2 linked regions of the Tamandua tetradactyla genome follow. Each later gene encodes a partner of the first gene's protein in a complex. Links are inferred from orthologs where the notes say so. Each region holds a gene or a part of one and is shown in the gene's direction. Other genes may lie near its edges. The genes, in order: LPL and GPIHBP1.

The links.
Region 2: the proteins of LPL (region 1) and GPIHBP1 are in contact, whole or in part, in a crystal structure (PDB 6OAU), measured with the Homo sapiens proteins. The link is inferred for Tamandua tetradactyla from reciprocal best matches to the Homo sapiens genes LPL and GPIHBP1. Residues at the interface, in NP_000228.1 of Homo sapiens: Tyr367, Gly368, Thr369, Ala371, Glu372, Glu374, Leu403, Met404, Lys406, Lys430, Lys440, Ile443, Cys445, Ser446, Arg447, Glu448, Val463, Lys464, Cys465, His466, Asp467, Ser469; in NP_835466.2 of Homo sapiens: Cys68, Lys69, Ser70, Leu92, Ala94, His95, Gly96, Asn97, Thr98, Glu99, Ser100, Leu103, Thr104, Thr105, Ser107, Trp109, Cys110, Thr111, Asp112, Ile117, Lys119, Val121, Glu122, Thr124, Val126, Met128.

What each region holds. Positions count from the first base shown.
Region 1 is NC_135329.1:20,509,614-20,520,487, forward strand, and holds the start of LPL (lipoprotein lipase), read left to right. Parts: upstream 1-6,631; 5' UTR 6,632-6,823; coding exon 6,824-6,911; intron 6,912-10,874. UniProt on the Homo sapiens protein: Key enzyme in triglyceride metabolism.
Region 2 is NC_135332.1:83,687,290-83,698,481, reverse strand, and holds GPIHBP1 (glycosylphosphatidylinositol-anchored high density lipoprotein-binding protein 1), read left to right. Parts: upstream 1-5,938; 5' UTR 5,939-6,182; coding exon 6,183-6,340; intron 6,341-6,817; coding exon 6,818-6,927; intron 6,928-7,495; coding exon 7,496-7,603; intron 7,604-7,792; coding exon 7,793-7,909; intron 7,910-8,026; coding exon 8,027-8,277; 3' UTR 8,278-8,403; downstream 8,404-11,192.

The sequences.
Region 1 (10,874 bases):
CATAAAGTCACAAATATTAATGACAATGTACGCTTAGCTCTGGATGCTCTTGATTTGGTTCTGACTTCTTATATTTGCATTAGTTCACTTATGAATAATATCATAGTACCACGCTCACTTATATATAAATTTCTTTAAGACTTCAAAAGTTTCAATTTATCCTTTTAATTCTGGCTCTTATATTTAACTACTTTACCAAGGAAAATAGAAAATGAGAAGCTTTTGGAATAAATGTAACTACTTTATAGTATATACTGTTCCACTTTTCAAACTTTTCCGTCCTCCCTCCCTCCCTTTCTTCCTCCCTCCCTCTGTCTTTCCCTCCCTTCCTTCTTTCTTTCCTTCCTTTATGGGGTCACAATCTCATGCAATAGAAAGATGGTAAATAATACAATTGCAGCACAAGGAGTAGTGACAAACTCTCAAAGGGAAGTCTGGAAAACGCCATGGAGGAGACAGTACCCCAGATCCTCAAAGAAGAAAACAAAGATTTAATGAATTGCTATGGCTCAGCAATTCCACTCCTAAGTATGTTCACAAGAGAACTGGAAACATTTCCACACAAAAACTTGTACATACGAATGTTTAAAGCAACATTATTCATAATAGCCAAAAGGTGGGACAAACTGATAAGTGGATAAATAAAACGTGGCATATATCCATACAATGGAATATTTGGCAATAAAAGGGAATAATGTTTTGCCATGTCCTTCAGCACAGATGAACCTTGGAAATGCGCTAAGTGAAAGAAGCTAGTTACAAAAAAGCTCATATGGTATGATTCCATTCACAGAAATGTTCAGAGTAGGCAAATCCACTGAGATAGAAAGACACCTATGCCTGGGGTAGAGAGGAAAGGGGAGTGACAGCTAATGGATTGGGGAGTTTCTTTGGTGTTGATGAAAATGTTCTAAATCCAGGGATGGTTGCACAACTCTGTGAACGCACTACAACCATTGAATTGTAAACTTTAAGTGGGTAAATTGTATGGAAAGAGATTCATATCTTAGTAAAATTATGCCTCTGCACTGAGATTTAATATAAACATTAATGGATTAATATACGTAAATTCTTAGAATAATGCCAGATACATAATAAGTGCTATATGAGGTTAGCTGTTTTTATTACTAGATAAAATGCAAAATAAATTATGAAAGACCATATTCACTTGCTAGATTGGTAAAGATTTTTTTAAAAAGGTCAGTAAATATGTGGTAATGATCAAGATGTTTAGAATCACTCGCTCTTAAACACTGTAGGTGGGAATGCAAATTAGCACAGTTTTTTTTTGTAGTGTAAGTTGGGTTTGCTTATAGAAATGATAAATATTCATACCTTTTGATTCAATAATTTCAAAGACTTGACCTTTGTTCACTACTGCATGGCTTGTTTTGTCAAAAGACCTAAATGGGACCATGGTGGCTGAGCGGCAAGAACGCTTGCCTGCCATGCCAGAGGACCCAGGTTTGATTCCCAGTGCCTGCCCATGTAAAAAAAAAAAAAAAAGACCTAAATGACTATTAATAGGGGTCTGGTTTAATAAATGACAGTGTACCATACAATGGAATATTACATGGAAATTAAAAGAAAAAACAAAAGGGACTCTTCTGGTATGAGCTCATCTCTAAGACATATTGATAGGAAAAACTTGCAGAACAGTGCTTATGGCAACCTACTGTAAAAAATATGTATGTGTGCATGAATATCCACACATTTACAAATACAGCTATGCTTTATATGCATTGACTTTTCTGGAAGCATACACACAAAGGGAAAAGTAGCTGCTTCTGGAAATGGGATTAGAGGTCAGAGAAAGACTTTAATTTAGTTTTGCACTGCTTGGACATTTGGGGCGTGGGGAGGTAGATCAAAAGTCTATTCATTTTTTAACTAAAGAGTTAAATGGAAGACAAAAAAAGATATATGAGGCCAGCAAAATGTTCCCATCAAATAATATGGCCCTCCATTTCCCTACACCCAGATTTGGCTTAACTAGAATAGACCGCAAGGAAGATGTTTGGGAGGAAATGTGTAGGTGTGTGCGTATTTTTGTAGGTCTTTAGCTGAAGTTTTATAATTAATAAACCTAGTGGAATTTTAAAAGAAAAACTTTACAGAATCCTGCTTTCTCCCCATTTCTCACTGGGTCATCTTTCACTCAGTGCTATTAACTTATCCAACAATATTGACAAAGAATTGTCTAGCTCCCCAGCACTGTGAGATGCTGTGGGGAGTACCACTGGGGTATCTTCCTTCAAGTTACTTATATCTTAATGAATGAAATGAGAAATGATCAAATAACTATATATAAAGTCAATTCTGTTTCAAGCCTTTTAAGCCAGTATTTTTGAGATGCTGCAGTATCACCAGAAGATCAGCAGGGGGCACCTCAAACACATCCTCTGCGAATGTGAGCCCATCCACACACACACACACACACACACACAAATCGGTTTCTCGACTATTCAATTCATTAAATAGGTCACACAAAAAGTCTTTTTTTTAAATCTCCTACACGAACTTAAGTTTTTTTGTTCTGTGTTTTGGTATCTATTTATGAACAAATGTGGGTTATAAATCCATTGGGCTATGGGACATTCTTTTAGATTTTGTAGACTGTTTTCTAGTAAAGGCCTGCTTCCCTCTTCCCCTTGGCCTTGCTGCAGTTCCACTGTGTCTGTCTGTCTGGTATGTTTTGTCTTTCCCATTTACCATATAGCCCTGTGCCATGCAAATGCATTGACTTTTATTTTCTTTCCTCTTTTTGAAAATTATTTTTTATTGTTCATAACTTTATTCAAAAAAATTTTAGTGCTGATATCGAAATGCGATTTCTCTGTTTATTTTTCTTTGTTTTTTTTGTGGAAGGGGATCAAGGAAGAGGATTAATATTCTCAACTCAAGAAGACGAAAATTCTTAAAATGTGTCTGAATTATTTCAGGCCATACCTTGAAAATTTGAAGCAGTTATCCCCACATTCCATATACCCCCCAAAAGTCAAAAGGTGCTCTTGAAACTCAAGCCTAATGGGGAGAGGGGTTAGTAGGAAATTGGCTAAATGCAATAACTATTTGTGCTTTCCTTGTTCTGGGACACCCAACTTTGCCAAGGGAGAGCTGTATTGTCTGAATTTCTTCTTCCCTGAACTAATCTACTTGGAATTACTGCAAAAAAAAAAAAAAGCTTTGTTGGGTAATGGATAAAAGAAGGGCTCTGCAGACCAGCACCTCCACTCATCTGGGTCAGCTCCAGCTTCAGATACTAGATGGTTCTGCCTTCAACCCAGAGCTGCCAGCCTCAGCCCTGCCGTCAGAGCACCGGCTGTTTACAGATCTGCCTTCTGCTCCTCCCTGTGCAGAATTTAATGTTGGGCTGTGGGTAGGTTGTAGTGGAAAAGCCCTTTATGACAGTTTTAGTAAATATCTTGTTTGTTGTTGTCGTTTTAGAAAACATTTTTCTCTTACCCTTCTGGTTTTTTTTTTTCATAGATTTTACATACTATTTAAATTTATGGTTTCATATTCTTCAATTTTCTTTATATTAGCTGTGCTTTTTATTCTACATCAAATATAATTCTTTGTGATGAAGACCAGATTCACTTCAGTACTGACACTTTTGGGGCCCACTTGTCATAGAGTTTAGCAAAAAAAAAAAAAGCCACAAAATTAAAAATCAGTACTAAAATATGCTTGTACAAAAACCATCTGCCTCCCAGCCTTTTTTGATTTGCAATTACAGTAACATTAAAATATAGCACAGCAACTATATTTTCCTTCTCTCCTGGGATTGCCAAAGAAAAAAACACTTTGAGATTTGTGGTTATTGTTGTTTAATCTTTTCTGAGCTTCATCTCCCTTTATCTATACAATGGGGGGTATTATTCACTTCAGAGTGGTTTTTGTAATGATTAAATGCAGAATGAAATGAAAAGGGCCCATAATCGTGCGTGAAAAATAGCAGGTCCTCAATCAAAATGAATATTTAGAGGACTGAGAGATGACAGATAAATATATCAATAGATAGACTGACGGAAAGAATTAGATGATAGATAGATAGTACCTCCCACATGCGGAGTTTCCAGTGTGTACACACGTTTAATTTTTCACTTACATCATTTCTAACTTACACCGCAGCGAGGTCCTGCTTTAAGGATACTTGCTTAGTTAGACATTTATAAAAAAGCTTAGCTTTTAAAAGTTTTTGAAGCGTCAAGTTTTGTAAGCCTGCTACAAAGGAAATGTCCTAATGGAAAAGTTAAGCCCCAAGTTACCCGTGACCAAATAACCTTGCTGAAGCTTGGAAGAGGCCCTTCTCTAAAGCACTTGCCGTCCTTCTGACAGATCATGTGAACTTCTGGGGGAGCACGCGGGCGTCTGCTCGCCCCCCCCCCCCAGTAGCCAATCAAGAGAGGGCCTTGCCGTCACACCCACCTGCCCATCGCTTGCTTCCAGGAGCGCACCCAGCCTGGTTGCTTCTCTGCAAGGCTGAGCGGCTCTGGGTTAATTCTTCCTGGAAATCTCTGCAGCTCTAACGGGTATGCACAGTTAGAGCACAGGTCACTCTAAAACTATCTCCATTTTTTTTTTTTAAAGCTCCGCCGACTCTGAGTTGGTTTAATTTTGTTAACTGTTAACTTGGGAAATCATTCTTAAAATACATTATAAGCACCAGACTTCCCTTTATTGATTACATAAAATCCCCCCTTGAAGTTTCTGAAAAGCACAGGAGTGCAGATTCGTTTGGTTGTCCTAGCAAATGATATGTGTGCATGAAAGTGTTTGCATTTTCTATTCCATATGAAATGGTATGCATTTGTGCATTTGGATTTATACGTCCTTTGTACCACGAGCACATTCAGTGCAACCGTACTTATCGTACGTCCTTTTTAAAATTAGAATTTACTATGCAAATTTTTTCGAGGACTGTCATAGTTATTTGTGCCCTGCATGGTTTGTTCTGCCGCTTGAAAGTTCTTCTGAGGTCTTTCATTCTTGGCAGGTTCCAAGATTCTTCTACATGCCTCATAGGATGAAATGAGTGTGCACGACATATTGTTTAAGAGCTGCAATGCCAGATGATACACTGTGCTGCAGCACTGAACATGTCAGTTTAAAGACAGAACACTATTCTACAGAATAATAATTCTTCATTTATTTGGGTGTATCAGGTTTTATTTTTTGAGAGAAACTCAAAATATGAGACTAATTAAAATTGTATGGTCTTTCTGTCTTCTCACCTACAAATACACATTGTGTGTGTGTGTGTGTGTGTGTGTGTGTGTGTAGGGATGTGTAGAAAGAAGCATTAAAGATATTTAAATCCAGTATGACAGATTGGGGATTCTAATTTTTCAGCTATAAACTGGGGAGTGGGGGGTAGAGTTCATTGTCCTTCCTGACTAATGTCAGTCCTTTACATTTAAAAGTATATTTGAGGTGGTGCAAGGGTGGTTCAGTGGCAGAATTTCCGCCTGCCATGTGGGACACGCAGGTTTGGTTCCCGAACCCTGCACTTCCCCCTCCCCCCACAAAAAAGTATATTTGGAAGTATTTTGAGCATTTCAGCAGAAAATCACATTATCCAATCTGATTTTATTTTTCTTATTTTACTTGGATATCTTAGTATACTTTCTTAAAAAGCTTTATTGATATAATTTATACACCATAAATTTCACCCAATTAACATGCACAATTCAATGGTTTTCAATTTTTTGCAGAGTTTATCACCATAAACCAATTTCAGAATACTTCATCACTTCCCCCAAAAGCCTTATGCCTATTAGCAGGCACTCTATATGCCCCCCCCTCACTCATCCCTCATGCCCTGACAACCACTGATGTACTTTATGTCTATATATTTGCCTATTTCAGACATTTCACATCCATATAATTCTACAATCTTTGTCTATTGTGAACAGTTTCTTTCACTCAGCATAGCTCAATACACTTTTAAATTATTGGAACCAGGCACTTTGCATCTGAGGATCAGATGATGCATCCTTGCATTCCTTGATGAGTTTGAGGATTGGTTATAATTTACAAGAGGCAAAAAACAAAAACTAGTTAAATAGGCTTTTCTCAACCACGTTAAACAGATAACTTGGCAGTGTTAAAAAAATATTAGATTGTGCAAGCACAGCTGCATAGCAATGTGTGTCCATAGGTCCCTAAAGTAACATTGTGACCGAGAGGATTCTGGAAAAAAAAGAAAAAGAAAACAAATTGTGCAAGTTAACAAACAGGATCCACTAAATGAATGGATTGAAGTATTGACCAAATGTAGTTTAACAGCCTAACTTCCTCTCCTTCGAAAACTGGTGAACAGGCAGAAGTATAATATTTAACATAAATCGATAAAAACCTGTGCTGGATGCTTCTGTACAGGGCTCTGGAGCGCCAGACTCCTAAGGGAAAGCTAACAGGAACCCAAAGGAAAGCAAACTTTCCCTGCTGCCCTTTCCCCCTCTTCTCGCTGGCAAAGACGATCCTCATTACAGTTTGCTCAAATATCTGGAAGTGGATTTAGGGCCCACCCCACCCCCCAACTTATGCTTTTATAGCCAATAGGTGATGAGGTTTATTTGCATATTTCCAGTCACATAAACAGCCCTGTAATGGGAACAGTGTCAGACTCGATTCCTCCTCCTCCTCCTCCTCCCCAGAGGAAACCTGCCACTTCTAGCTGCCCAGCCTTTCCCTTTAAAGGGAGACTTGCCCCGCGCGAAACCGCCGCTCCAGCCCTCTCCCTCCTGCGGCTCAGCCCGCCAGTCGGTCGGTCCGCGCCAGCCCGCGCGGCGCAGCTCCTACAGAGGACGCCGCGGAGATGGAGAGCAAAGCCCTGCTCCTGGTGGCCCTGGGCGTGTGGCTCCAGAGTCTGATCGCCTCCCGCGGCGGGGTGGCCGCCGCCGACAGTAAGTTTTGCAGGCACTCTCCCCTCCACCTGCAGATGCGTCTCCGTGACCACTTCCACGCCCTCTGAAGATGGGAAAGAAGATGTTAAAAGGAGCTGGGGATGCGCACCGGGGACTCCCTCTGCGGGAGGGAACCCAAGAAGGGCCACGGACGTGGGGTCGGGAAAAACAGGGAAGGAATTCTCCCTCGGATCTCTACGGGGTCGGCTCCGAGTTCCCGCTTTCTCTTTCTGGCGGGTTCCCGCGCGGTGCGCTCCGCTGGCTCGGCGTTCAGGGACTGGCGGGCAGAGGCGGGGGAGGGCCCGGGGGTGTGACGGGTGGGACCCGGGAGGGGAAAGGCCAGGATGGCGTGACCCGCAGCACTCCCCGTGCCGGGGGCGGGGGGAGAGGGCTGGGATAAAAGGCACGCAGCCCAAGGTGACCCCGGCTTGGCGGAGGCGGCAGCTCAGACACCGCCAGTGGCAGGCGAACGGAAAGTGCCACCCTCTCTTGGAGGAGCCGGCCTGGGGAGGGTGGAAGGAGCTGTCGCTAGTTTGGAAGCACAGGGTACCAGTGATCTCTAGCAACCTTTGCGCTCCCGAGGGGTAGTGGGGACGCGGGGCGCGGTGTTCTGGTCATGCCGCGTCGGGTATGCGTTAGGACGCCGGGGAAAGTCTCCAGATCCACTCTTGCACGCTCTGCTTTTCTTAGAGGAGAGTTGACCCTCCTGAAAACGTGGCAGTGACCAGCAGCGTTGGGGGATGTCAGCAGCGACTTGGGGGCTGCACAGGTTATTCCCGTCTGCATAAGTTTTTCTAGCCGAGGCCAGCGCCACGCGCCCAGTGCGGCGGTGCAACCGCGCACACGTCGGGCCTCCGGGCGCCGCAGGGAGGCACTGGGCGATCTGGAGCTGGAGTGCCGCCAGCTAGCGAGTGAGGGCATTTGAGGCGAGGTGCAATTTCCTTTATTGCAGGAAAAAGAAGCGCCCAGCCCGCCATAGAGTCAGTCTGCATAACTTGAACCTTGGTTCCCGTAAAATACAACAGCAACTAAAGAGGCAATTGAAGCAAATTTTCTTTTTCCTTTGATGCGATTCCACTTAGGGTGGTGTAGATGGATGTGCTTTCAGGCGGCACGTCCAAAGCGGCTCAAGTTATAGTCGAGTTTGTCCATGACTTTGCAAGCTGAAAGCTTATTTTACTTTGGCATTGAGCTGTGAAAGAGATTTTTTGTTAGATTAAAAAAAAATGTAATCCCATTAATTGCTGAATGGGATGGAAAGATTTACAATGATCTTTTCTGTCAGATCAGTTTAAGAACACTAGGTCAGTTAGAAAGTCTTAAGTATCTTGATATTGAATTCCCCTCGATAGTGTTTAACACTGGCCAAGATGATGGTAGAATGAACTCCAAATTCTTATTTCCTAAAGTTTACCATAGTACAATGTTATTTTTACCAGAAGCTTCACATGAGCATGTGTCATCCACATTTTAGGATTTGTTATCCTCTCTTCTAGGTTCACAATCCTAAATTCTTGGGCAAGTGAGTGTCACCTCTCTGGGTTTAGCCTCCTTAACTCAAAAATGAGGCATTCGAACTATACTGAACATTCTCTAAGGCCCCCCTAATTCTTAACTTTTTATTAAAATGGACACGTTAATTAAAGTGATTTTAACCAACATGTGCTTTCCCTGGCTGATAATGCATGAAGGAAGAAATCATTGCTAACTTGAAATTTCTTCCTCTCATCCCCCACCCCCAACTCAACCTCCACCCCACAACCATTTATGCCTCTCCCACCAGAGAAGGCAGTTTTCCTCCCCTTTTCCAACAAATGAAATCATTCAGGAAGTTGAGAATTTCAGGATGGGAAAGGCACAGGTGTGGAGAAATGGTAGGTAGCATCTCCATTGGACCCTTACTTGATTCATTCATTCTCTATTTCTTTCCCAGAAGAAGATGAGGATATGAGGCCCTTCCCTCGAGCTCTCTGCTCTGGGAGCCACCACAATCTCTCTGCATCCCCAGATGGAAACTTGAATTGCTGGGAGAGGGACACCTGGGTACATGCTCAGTCGCTGTGGTCCTATTTGGCCACAGTGAATTTCTCAGGCCAACATCTGAGTTAAACATGATGGGTGATGAGAACATAATAGCAGATGTCACTTTTCTCATAAAGTTGAGCTCAGCAAGCAGGGGCGTGACTAATTAATAGCTGTACTGAAAAGTGGGAGTCAGGCACGGGGGAAGAGTTGCAAGGGAAATTTTTCACTTTTAAGCAGTGTTATTTTTAGCCCAGACTTCTATTTTTTTTGCTTCATGTATGAGAAAAAAAATGGGCTATATAGTTTACTGCCTCTATTATGTCGATTGTTCCAGAAAATGCCTTGAAACATACAATATGTTACCACTGGTTTCCTTTCTCACGAACACCTGTTCCCACCTCATATTCCCCTGCATTCAATGTGAAGCTGTTCTAGCAATCAAAATGATTACTGGGTGGGCCACGGTGGCTCAGCAGGCAAGAATGCTTGCCTGCCATGCCAGAGGACCCGGGTTCGATTCCTGATGCCTGCCCATGTTAAAAAAAAAAAAATGATTACTGATGCTGACTTTAGATCACACAGTGTAAGAAAATTATTCAAGCCATAAGTATCAAGCTTTTAGGTCTGAATGAAAATACTGTTGCAGAATTTACTCAATGCATTTCCCAACTTTTATGGCAACAAATATTCAGGTGTAAAACTTTTGTAAATTTCAGGCTAGTTGTATTCACTTTCTATAGTTTGTCACCTGAGTGAACTAAACAATTTTTATCAACAGAGACTTTTTAAGTCTCTGGGAATGAATCTTTGTCAAAAGTAGCTTTAATCACACTCTCTCTTTGCAAAACTTGGAGGCTCTGTTAGTTTCTGAAGGGGAAATATGATAGAACACCCAAGCTCACTCAGAGACTAGGTTTGAGATTTGTTGTTGAAGAGTCTTTGTTCACCTAATTATAAATTTGTACATTGCTGGCTGTGGCCATTTAAAACATGTCTGTGTGCTTGACACCATTTGGGTTTTCAATAAATGTCAGATATGATTAGAGAGGGAAATAAACATTTACTAGGAAAGAAAAAATGGATTCACCTTAGTTTAAGAGAGAGAGAGAGAGATGGGGGCAGAGTTGGGGATACATATTTAAATATGTGCCACTTATTTCTTTGCTCTTCACAATCTATTCTCTCAGAAAGTTCAAAATTTATATCAGATAATTTTGTAATTTAGACTCTTTAAATGAATAAAAGAAAATGGCCCCACTACTATTTGGCAGTGAAATAGAACAAAGAAGCCCAAACTGGTATGGCTACACTCTAATTTAGAAATATTATTCTGGCTCGGGTTAATTTTGAGTTTAATATATACGTTTGCAGAAGCTTTAAAATAGTATGAAAACTTGGACTTTTTGGATGGGTGGTGGTGAATACAGGTGAATGGATTTGAATCGAGAGCTTCTCAACAGCCCTCCACTCAAGCATATAACTGTCTTGAAATCAGTGATGTACTTTTGAAAAAAATGTTGGTTTTCAGAGTCAATTTAGATGAAAAATAGCATGATGCTTAGCGTCTACATTTCAATGAACAGAATATACTCCATATCTTTTACCCAGATTCCCGCAAGTAAAACAACTATTACACACATATCATCGGCTCTGATTGTGTTTAGTTTGAGGCAGTTGGATGCTTCCGTTTGCCCTCTTTATCAATGAGAAGAAAGTCATTTCAGATTAACAGTTTGAGAATTTTGTATTTCAATTTTTTAATTCTTGATTTAAATATGCCTACGTATCACTCAATCAAAATATTTATTAACCAATTCACAGTACCCTTTTGAGCAGTGATAGCTTCCACTTGTTTTTTCACACTCAGTGGTCTAAATTAACTGGGCAATTGTAACACACATATCCAAGCCTGTTTTTTTTAAACCTTTCTTTTCAGTA
Region 2 (11,192 bases), on another chromosome or scaffold:
GAGCCCAGAGATTTCACAGAAAAACCTTTCAACCAGCCGGGTCCCACACCCAGGGAAATCTGATCAAATGCCCAGACACCAGCAGAAAATAATGGATGACGCTCGGAAAATTGAAGATATGGCCCAGTCAAAGGAACAAACCAATAGTTCAAATGAGATACAGGAGCTGAGACAACAAATGCTGAATATACGAACAGAAATGGAAAAACTCTTCAAAAACCAAATCAATAAATTGAGGGAGGACATGAAGAAGACATGGGCTGAAAAAAAAGAAGAAATAGAAAATCTGAAAAAACAAATCACAGAACTTATGGTGGTGAAGGACAAAGAAGAAAAAATGGAAAAAACAATGGATACCTACAATGGTAGATCTAAAGAGACAGAAGCTACAATTAGTGAACTGGAGGATGGAACATCTGAATTCCAAAAAGAAACAGAAACTACAGGGAAAAGAATGGAAAAACTTGAGCAGGGGATCAGGGAACTGAATGACAATATGAAGTGCACAAATATACATGTTGTGGGTGTCCCAGAAGGAGAAAAGAAGGGAAAAGGAGGAGAAAAACTAATGGAAGAAATTATCACTGAAAATTTCCCAACTCTTATGAAAGACCTAAATTTACAGATCCAAGAAGTGCAGCGTACCCCAAAGAGAATAGACCCAAATAGGCATTCTCCAAGACACTTACTAGTTAGAATGTCAGAGGTCAAAGAGAAAGAGAGGATCTTGAAAGCAGCAAGAGAAAAACAATCTGTCACATACAAGGGAAACCCAATAAGACTATGTGTAGATTTCTCAGCAGAAACCATGGAAGCTAGAAGACAGTGGGATGATATATTTAAATTACTAAAAGAGAAAAACTGCCAACCAAGACTTTTATATCCAGCAAAATTGTCCTTCAAAAATGAAGGAGAAATTAAAACATTTATAGACAAAAAGTCACTGAGAGAATTTGTGACCAAGAGACCAGCTCTGCAAGAAATACTAAAGGGAGCACTAGAGTCAGATACGAAAAGACAGAAGAGAGAGGTATGGAGTAAAGTGTAGAAAGAAGGAAAATCAGATATGATATATATAATACAAAAGCCAAAATGGTAGAGGAAAATATTATCCAAACAGTAGTAACACTAAAAGTTAATGGACTGAATTTCCCAATCAAAAGACATAGACTGGCAGAATGGATTACGACCCAGCAATACCACTGCTAGGTATCTACTCAAAGGACTTAAGGGCAAAGACACAGACGGACATTTGCACACCAGTGTTTATAGCAGCATTATCTACAATTGCAAAGAGATGGAAACAGCCAAAATGTCCATCAACAGACGAGTGGCTAAACAAACTGTGGCGTATACCTACGATGGAATATTATGCAGCTTTAAGACAGACTAAACTTATGAAGCATGTAATAACATGGATGGACCTAGAGAACATTATGCTGAGTGAGTCTAGCCAAAAACTAAAGGACAAATACTGTATGGTCCCACTGATGTGAACCGACATTTGAGAATCAGCTTGGAATATGTCATTGGTAACAGAGACCAGCAGGAGTTAGAAACAGGGTAAGATAATGGGTAATTGGAGCTGAAGGGATACAGACTGTGCAACAGGACTAGATACAAAAACTCAAAAATGAACAGCACAATAATACCTAAATGTAATGTAACTATGTTGGAACACTGAATGAAACTGCACCTGAAATATAGTTTTTTGTTTGTTTGTTTGTTTGTTTGTATCTTTTGTTTTTGTTTTTTTCTTTTTCCTTTTTTATATATATATATTTTTTTATTAGTATTATTATTTTAATTCTCTTCTCTATATTAACATTCTATATCTTTTTCTGCTGTTTTGCTAGTTCTTTTCCTAAATCGATGCAAATGTACTAAGAAATGATGATCATACATCTATGTGATGATACTAAGAATTACTGAGTGCATGTGTAGAATGGAATGATTTCTAAATGTTATGTTAATTTCTTTTCTTTTTTTGATTAACAAAAAAATTTAAAAAAAAGAAAAGCACAAACATATATACATATATTTCACTACTAAACATACTCAGCCTTGTTTTTGCATGTGAAGCAGAACCTGATTCCATGTTTTATGTGTTCCCATTTTTTTTTTTTTCATGGGCAGGTTCCAGGAATTGAACCTAGGTCTCTGGCACGGCAGGCAAGAACTCTGCCACTGAGCCACTGTTGCTCCAACCCTGATCTCATGCTTCAGATGAAACACTCACCAACAGTGGGGCGAAGGACTGTCTTTAAAATGGCTAACTGGATAGCCTTGATTCTTGAAGATGATTGTAGAGAGATATAACTTTTACGATGTGACCATGGAATTGTGAAAACCTTTTGTCTCATGCTCCTTTTATTCATGGTATGGATAGATGAGTTTAAAAAAAATATGGACCCTGGACATCCCAAAGTAAATAAATAAATAATAATAGGGAGGACCAAGGGTGAAATAAATTGGGTAGATGGAAATACTAGTGGTCCATAAGAGGGAGGGGTGAGGAGTATGTGATTTATGAATTCTTTTCTTTTAACTTTTTCTGGAGTGATGCAAATGTTCTAAAAAGAATGCTCATGGTGATGAATATACAACTATGTGAGGATATTGTGAGCCATTGATTGTACACCCTGTATGGAATGTCTGTGTATAAAGATTTGTCAATAAAAATATTTGTAAAAATTAAGTGAAAAATCAAATGTGCATAATGTCATACTGTCAGCTTCTGCACTTGCTTTTTTTTTTTTTTACATGGGCAGGCACGGGGAACCGAACCCAGGTCCTTGGGCATGGCAGGCAGGCATTCTTACCTGCTGAGCCACCGTGGCCCACCCAATGCACTTGCTTTTTTACTCAAAATGATATGAGTGAGATTCATCCATTTTGACTCATTTTTTTTGTACTGTAGCATATTTCTTTCTATGAATGAACCACGGTGTATTATTAATCAGTTTCCCAACTGATATTCATTTAGATGCTCTCCAGCTTTCTGCTACTACAAATAAAACTGTTATCAACAATTGAAAAAAGAGAGAGACCGGAGCCGCCGGCGGAGCCTCTGAGTGCTGGGTTGGCTGAGAAATCCCAATCAGAACTTGACTTTTAGGTTGGTAAAGAGAAGGGCTGGGACCAGCAGCGACTCCCGGCGCGCTCCTGGAAAGCTGGTCCCGGTTCTCATGGCTGCTGCGAGCGCACACGGCACCGGCTGCCTTCCCAGGTCAGCGACAAAGTCTGCAGCCCGGCGCAGCACAGTGACTCGGCGTGTGGACTCTCAGAAGACGTGGCTGCTCTTTGCCAGAGTTGGGGGGTAAGCTCCAAGCACTGTCCTGCCAATATTGCCCAAGCACCCCCTTGGACATGAGTTTTAACGATTTTTCCTTTGGTTGTTAGTATTTTTTTCTGTTCCTTTCTTACTACTTGCACGGATCGGCATCAGAAGCTGTCACCTCCTTGTGTTCTTTGAGGGTTGAAATAAAACAGTGTGGTGCCACACACACACTACAGGAAGCCAGCCCAGCGGTGGCAGAGTCCCTTTATGAAGACACAACATGAATGCAGTCCTTACTTCCTGCCTTTTCACGCATCTCCACACCCTTGTGCCCTGTGCATTACCCACTTAAGGTTTCTCTGATTCAGGACTGACAGCTTTGTTCTCTCATGCAGCTGCACACGGCGTTTCACTTCACCGTTTTTAAAGTGTTTCTAACCTGCAGCCCACACCTGCCCTCCAGGAGCCAAAAGGCCCCAGCTGCCACTGCCTGCGTCCCGCCAGGTGGGAGGGCGGCCTATCCTCACTCACAGCCGCCCCCTCCCCACAAGCCAATACCATTCACCATATCCCAGGACCCACGCGCCCTCCTCCAGGAAGCCCCCCCGATACCCCATCCCCCACCCACCCCCAGGCATAAGCTACCTCCTCAGGGATGGCAGAGCAAAGTCCAGGTCCCAGTCACCTTGCTGTCCCCAGAGGCCAACACAGGGTGGGAGCAGGGTAATAGGGGAAGAGATGGAAGCCCTGATGGGACCTTATATTCCCAGCATCCCGGCCCAGCCTTGTCAGGACACCAACCCTGCCCGCCACAGGGGCAGGAGGGAGTGTGGACAGCAGCGGCCCTTGTCCACAGCTGGCACCGAGCTCTAAGCCCAAGGCCACGGCTGCCAGAAAGAGTAGCATGACTCACGCCGGTGCCCGAGGTCGGGGAGCCAGGCCCGGTGGTGGACACAGCAGCCCAAAGGCCACCCCCGGGAGCCAGCCCGGCCAGCTGGGCTGAGCAGGTAAGCTTGAGGTCACAGCGGCCCAGGGGTCTGCAGGGCAGAGAGCCGGGGCTACCAGGCTGCCCTTTAAGGGAGCTAAGAGCCAAGCCTGCCAGCAGGGCTTATAAGGTAGATAGCCCGACTGCTGGGGTTCTGGGGGTACACGGGCCTGCCCTGGGGGCTTTATGTCCCCCTGAAGCCCTGCCCTGAGAGTTGAGGGGGTCTCTGGACTGCTGTGTCCAGAAGCCTGGGGGCAGAGAGGCACCACCAGGGGACAGCCCTGTGACCAGAAGCCTCTAAGAGGACGCCCAGGTACCTGCATGGGGAAGGGGCAGGGGGCCTACACACAGTCAGGCATTTCTGCTATGGGTCAGGAGAGGCAGACCAGGGGACTGTCATCAGAGTCTCCCGCAGCCTGCCCCCATGGGTGAGTCACCAGCCCTGGTCTAGCCAGACCCCCACGGCCTGTCCTGGGTGGGCCTGCACCAGGTGAGGCAGGGGTAACAGTGGACACCATGCAGAAGGGTGACCCAGGGGCCGTGAGTACACAGCCATGGGGGTGAGGGTGGGTCCCAGGGTGGGTGGCTCAGCCCATGGTCTGGAAGGCAGTGATAAGAGAGACCACCCATCCTCAGAGCTATGGAGAATCAATGCAAACCATTTTAATTAATGAATTAAATATTGCCATTATTATTTCTAGATTTTCACAGGCCCCGGGGTAGGCCGGGCAGTGTGCACCTGAGACAAGGCAGCTCCCGCAGGACCACTGGCTTGCGGAGCTGGGCCCAGGACTAGCGGCAATAGACTCACCCCACACCCACCCCTGCTCCCCCAGGGTTCCGGGGAGCCCAGACGGTCAGTGCAATCTGGGGAGCTGGGGGTTCCTGAGAGGTGCTCCTGTGCTCATGGGTCTAAGCACCTGTAGGAGGGGCCGGGGGTCTGCTAGGATTGGGCCAGGAGGAATGAAGATGTGGGGGGTGGAAGAACTTGAGACAAGGGCTGGGCAAGCGACTTTGGCCACCAGGACAGGAAATGGCTGGGCAGCCGGGTGGCCACGGGGTGCAGAGCCTGGACAGATCTGAGAAGCATGGAGGAGGGATAGGAGACTCACGGCTTGCCAAGATTTCTGAGAGGTGTCATCCCATCCTGAAGGACCCCAAGCCCTTGCTGGGACTGCCACAGTGGTCATGGCCCTGGGAGAAGCTGAGGTCTGGAAAACCCCAGGCTGGTCTTGCACCCAGAGTTAGAGAGAGGAGACCCGGGTGAAAGCCAGGCAGCCTCGCTCTTCAGTCCAGCTCAGCCTCTTCTCCACGGGGAAGCATGGGGGAAACTGAGGCCTGGGAGGTTCAAGGGAGGCCCAAGCCATGAGGCCTGCACACAGCAACCGGGCTTAAACCTCTGCTTCCAGGCTCCAGCACACTGCCCTTGGGGAATCGGCAGGGGGCATCTCGGGGCTTTGGAGGCCGGGGTACCCGCAGGAGAGAACTGGGGAGCTGTCAACCCAGGCCTCCCACACAACACACTGCTCAGAGCCAGAAGGGTGGGGTTAACAGTGCCTTCACAGGCCCACACCCTACACCCCGGCCCCTCCCCCTTGCTGTCCCCCAGCCAACCTTCATCCAGAAGGCAGAGGCAGATGCGGGGCAGCAGGAGGAGGGAGCAGCGACACGGGGTGGGGCTGCCCTGGACAACCTCGACAGGCCAGCAGGGACAGAGCTCCCTGGCAGGTACCCAACAGGCGCTGGGCAAATCCCTGCTCCTCATGGCCTCGGTTTCCCCCACGTGAAATAGGGCTAAGTGATAGGTCTGCAGTGAGGGGCACAGGGGGGATTTGGGAATGGCGGATGGTGCATTCATGTCCTCCACCCACGGGAGCCGGTGGGGGTCAGCTCCAGGCCCTAGGGCTGTAAGGAGAAATGGGTGAGCGCCACCATGCAGCCTCTAGACTGGTGCGTACATGTCAGCCCCCGGAGGGATCGGCCTTTCTGAGAAAGGGACCACGGGACAGACCATGTGGCCAATTGCGGAAAGGGCATCCCAGGCGTAGGGGACAGCCAGGACCCGGCACCACGAGGTGAGCAGGGCAGCTGGGAGGCAGGCAGCAGACGGGAGAGGCACAGTGGCAAGGACAGACTAAGCAGTTTCTGCATTTTTATTTAAAATGCTCTTAAAACACACCCTGAAATGCTGACATGCTGACTCCAAGCTTGCAAGGCACCTGGGTCCATTCTCTGTGCCCAGAGCATCTGCGACCGGGCACTCCTGAGGCATGGGAGCCTGGCCCCATGGGGGGCCATGTGTCCAGAGCTTTGACCAGACCTTAGGACAGGGTCTCACAGGTGGACAGGATACCCCAAGGCCATCACAACAACTTCCCCTTCCCCTCAGGCGCCCCTGGGGTCCAGGAGGGAAACAGCCCCTGGCCTGGTGCCTGGAGCTGGGGCCAGAGGGAGGCCCATTGTCTGAAGCCTGAGCCAGCAGGGCCCTGCAGGGCGGGGTGGGGGCGCCGGGAAGCTGGTCTCAGGCAATGCCCTTCGTCCCACTCCCCCAGGACCCAGAGCCCCTGGCGAAAGCCCAGCCAGTGGCCGGGAAGCCGTGTTCCAGCAACTATGAAGGTGTTCGCGGCTGTGCTGCTCGCCCTGATTTTGTGCGCAGAGCCAGGTGCGTGGGGCGGGGACCCCCGGCCTGGAGAGAGCCCCCATCGGAAAAGAGGAGGTTGAAGCTGGGCTCCCCCGGGTAGAGGGTGGTAGATGGGGGCTCTCTTGTCCGCTCTCCAAACCTCCCAGACCCTTGGGGGTCCAGGGCGCCCGCTCCCTCCCACCCCCACCCGCCCTAGCTCCAGGGAACTGGCGGGTTGCGTGGCAGGACCCAGGTGCGGCCTCTCCTGGCTGCGGAGCTTTGGGAGGGAAGGGGGGGTTCCCCTCAGCCCTCCGGGCCTGGATTTTCTATTCTATTCCGTAGGAGGCCGCAGCCACGCAAGGCGCGCGGGGGCGCAGGAGTCGGTACCGGGTGTGGCGGCTACGCCGGAGCGCGGGAAGCGCGCAGGGGGCCTAGGGGGCCAGGAGCGGGACGGGCGGAGGGCGCAGGGGGCCGGAGGGGGCGGTTGTAGGGCGCAGGGGGACGGAGGGGCCAAGGCCGGGGCCCCGGGGGCGCGGCGCTCGGGCGGCCAGAGCTTGTGTTCCCTGTACCGGGGTAGCCAAGGTTTACAGACGTCCCTGCACACGGTCAGGGAAAGGGCAGGAGCAGGACGAGGACGAGGACGACGGCGGGCTGAACGGCTACGACGACGACGACGACGACGACGAGGCCAACGAGATCCCGGGCGCCAGGGACCGAGGTAGCCCGTCCGCCCCGAGCCAAGGGCGCCGGACGCCCTCCAGGCCGGATGCTTTCGGCTCAGCCCCTAGTCCCGCCCCGCCTGAACCCCGCCCACTTCGCGTCCAGGCCCCGCCCCGCCTGAGCTCCGCCCCGCCCGCTCTGACCCCAGCCCCGCCCCTCTTGAGACCCACCGCGCCCCGCCCCCCAGCCCAGTTGCAGTGCTATTCCTGCCAGTCCCTACGGGAGGGAGAGGCCTGCGATCAGGTCCGCAACTGCCTCCTCGGCCAGACCTTCTGCAAAACCTTCCTGTCCCGCGGGGACACCGGTGAGTGAGCCGCCCGGGTCCCTCTTCTCCTCTTTGAGGGACTCAAGTCGGTCCTGGTCGTGCAGCTACCTCGGCCCTCCCGGCCCCCTAGCACTCATCTCCATCCCTCTCGCCCAGAGTCGGGTCTCCTGACCACCTACTCGGGGTGGTGTGCAGACACGTGCCTTGCTGTCACCAAGACCATAGCGGAGACCCGGCTGACCATGGCCTGCTGCCAGTCCGCACTGTGCAACGTCCCACCCTGGCACAGCCCGCAAGCCCGGAACCCGCTGGGCAGCGGGGCTGGGGGCCCAAAGGGCAGCCTCTCCGCCGTGGGCACAGCCCTCCTGCTCGGTTTCCTCGCGGCCCTGCGGGCGTTGGGGTCCTGAAGACCCGCCCCAGCGGCGCCTTGCTCCCCTCACCGCCTCTTTGCTCCCATCCTGGCCTGGCCAAGGGCTCCTTCCCTGCGGTCCCGCCCCCACCAGCTTCGCAGAATAAACTTGCAGCTCCTTTAATGATCCGACCAGTACTGGTTCCTCCCCACCCCCGTTCTACATTTCCTCAGTTTCCCCATCTGTCAAGTCCAGCGACACAGGCTGGGGGACCCTGCCCCAGGGTCTCTCCCTGGACCTCCTGCCAAAGAAATTCCCCTCTCCACAACTGGAGAGCCTGGCGAAGTTTTGCTCTTTCCCAAATGTGGGAACTATGTTTACCTCCAAGTGGTCAGGGGAGAAGTGGCTTTATTCTGCACCCCTCCTCCAGGAGGGAGAGGCCCAGGGCAGCCTGAGGGGCGAGGAAGAGGGTGGGGAAGTTAATGGAGGGAGAGGGGGCAGGCAGAAGCTTCCTGTGCTGGGTGAGGAGCCTGTGGATTCCACTGGCCTGGGCTGGTGTGCTTGGTTCCTGGGCATGTGCCTTTCCTGGCTGCACCAGTCACTGCTTTCACCAGCAGCAGCTGCGGGGCATAGCCCCAGTGGGAGGCCAAGATCCGGCCACAGCTCAGCCTCTGACATGGGCCCCAGTTTTCTCATCTGAGCAATGAGAAACACTTAGAGGACCCTTAGATTCCCATTAGCTCAGCATGCTGTGGGCTGGGGAGTCCAGAGTCCTATCCTGCCGGCCAGGTTCTTCCCAGTTGGCCCATGTGAGCCAGGGACGCATCTGACTGCTCTCCTCTATGGCAGAGGCAATGAGCCGCCTTCTGCTATCCATTCTCCCCTCTTCCTTATTAATAAAAATCCAAAGCCTGGCGGGGGGGGGGGGACGCATTCCTTAAATGGAGGCGGCATACCTTTCTTCTTCCCCTTTCTCCTTCCTGCTGGCTGAACAGTGGCTGGAGCTCAGCAGCTATTTTTGGGCCATGAGGTAGCACACTAAAAGTGGTAGGGCAGCGTGGAGGAAGGAGCCTGGATGGCTGATGATTGGGTGTGTTGTACCAGCCCTGCCCTGCCTACCTCAGGACGTCTACTGCATTGAAACCAATGTTATCTGGGGTTTGTCTGTTATTTACATCTTCACAGACCCTCACACACACACACATGCATATCTACACAAACTCACCAAACCCACACACACTCGAGCACAGCTGCCTGGATTGAAATCTGAGCCCCACAACTCCCCCACTTCCGCATACCACTTCCCCCTCTGTTGAAGGGGAGTCATAGGAGCCCCTCCCTGGAAGCCTGCAGTGAGAAAGGCCTCATGCTCCAGGCCTGGCACTCAGTGCCCAATATACAGACACTCGTGTAGCCCAGAGCTGTGACGGCCCCGCTCACCAGCACATGTACCTGTGTTTAAAGCAAGTACCTCCTGTGCAGCCTGGGTTCCTCACCAGTAGAGGAAGCCTGGTGACAGCCATACTGCATGCTGTCATTCACCTGCACAAAAACACCCTCCAAACACCTGCCTGCAGCCCTGCATAGGTCTCAGCAGACAGATCCACACCCTCCACACCCCTGGAAGCCAGAGGAGTCCACCAAGCCTGGCCTCTAACAACGGCCCTCCCTCTTTGAGGCTCTTTGTATGGAGCATACCTTAGCCGGGGTACAGCCTACCCTGGGGCTTCTGCTTCAGTGCCACCCTCTTTTCCCAGCATCCTGGGGCCCCCTCATGCATCCTGACTGGGCATCACCCAGACATCCAAGAGTGGGGCCAGTTCACCACCCATCCTGTGGTGTTAAAACTGCTCCAGTGGAGCCTCGTGCAGTTCTGGAGGTCAGAGGCATGGGCAGGGCCTTCCTTCAGCTAGTCTCGTGGGCCCAGGGATACCCCAGTCCTCCTCCTTCAGCCTCTGGAGCTGCCACGTGGCTCCTCCTTCCAAGGGCGCTGCTCCAAGCCTCACCTTCCATGGTCAAATACCCCCGTCCTGTGGTTGCCCTGGGGTCCCCCTGATAACCCAGGCCATCTCCCCCCCCCCTCCAAGGTCCCCTACCTAATTACATAGACACAGACCCTACATGAAGGGTTCATCTCAGCCCCCACAGCCCCCATGGACCCCACTCAAGTCCATTGCCAGAGCTTGAAGGGGCATGGGACATGGCGAAAGGGATGCACCTGGGCACAGGTGGCCACGGTCCAGAAGCACTGCGGTGGGGGGCTTCACAGAGGAGGTGGGGGGACAGATCTCAGGGGATGATTGGCCAGGCTGGGAGTCTGCCAGGCAGAGGGAACCCAGCAGCTGGGGCATGGGGAGACAGGTGATGCCGGTAGGATGGGGTTGGGAGAGGGGGTCACAAGGAAGGGTGAGGCTGGCTTGTGAGCGTGCTCACCCAAATGACCAGGCATCAGGGAGGAGGGGGCACACAGGCGGGATGCTCGAGCAGGCAGGGGGACTCACAGAGGGACCACCTCCCCTGTCCTGGCGTTCAGCATCCCCAGGGTCCCCACTGCCCCCTGCTGTCTGGAGCCTGCTGTGGCCACGCGAACTCCCTCTGCCCGCTGCTGTCCCCAGCCTGGGTACAGGGCAGCCCTAGGCAGAAGGGCTCTGGGGGGCTGTACCGAGGACACAGCCATGTGCCTGTCCACTGGCGTTGGGGAGCCCCTGACATGTCGCAAAGCGGCTGCTTGCCCACAGCCATGGCCGCACCCACCCTGCAGCAGCCACTTACTTTGCTGCTCCCTTTGCAACTGGGCCACCACCTGGTCCTGGGCCAGTGAAGGTTGTCCGCGAGAGGCACACAGGGAAAGATTTTCCTCCCTTCTATGAAGAGACACTTGGAGAGGGGGTGCCCGCATCGTGGATTGGCTTGTGCCTGCAAGAAGACACGTTGAAGTCCTAACGCCAGCCCTATGGACTGACCTTATGTAT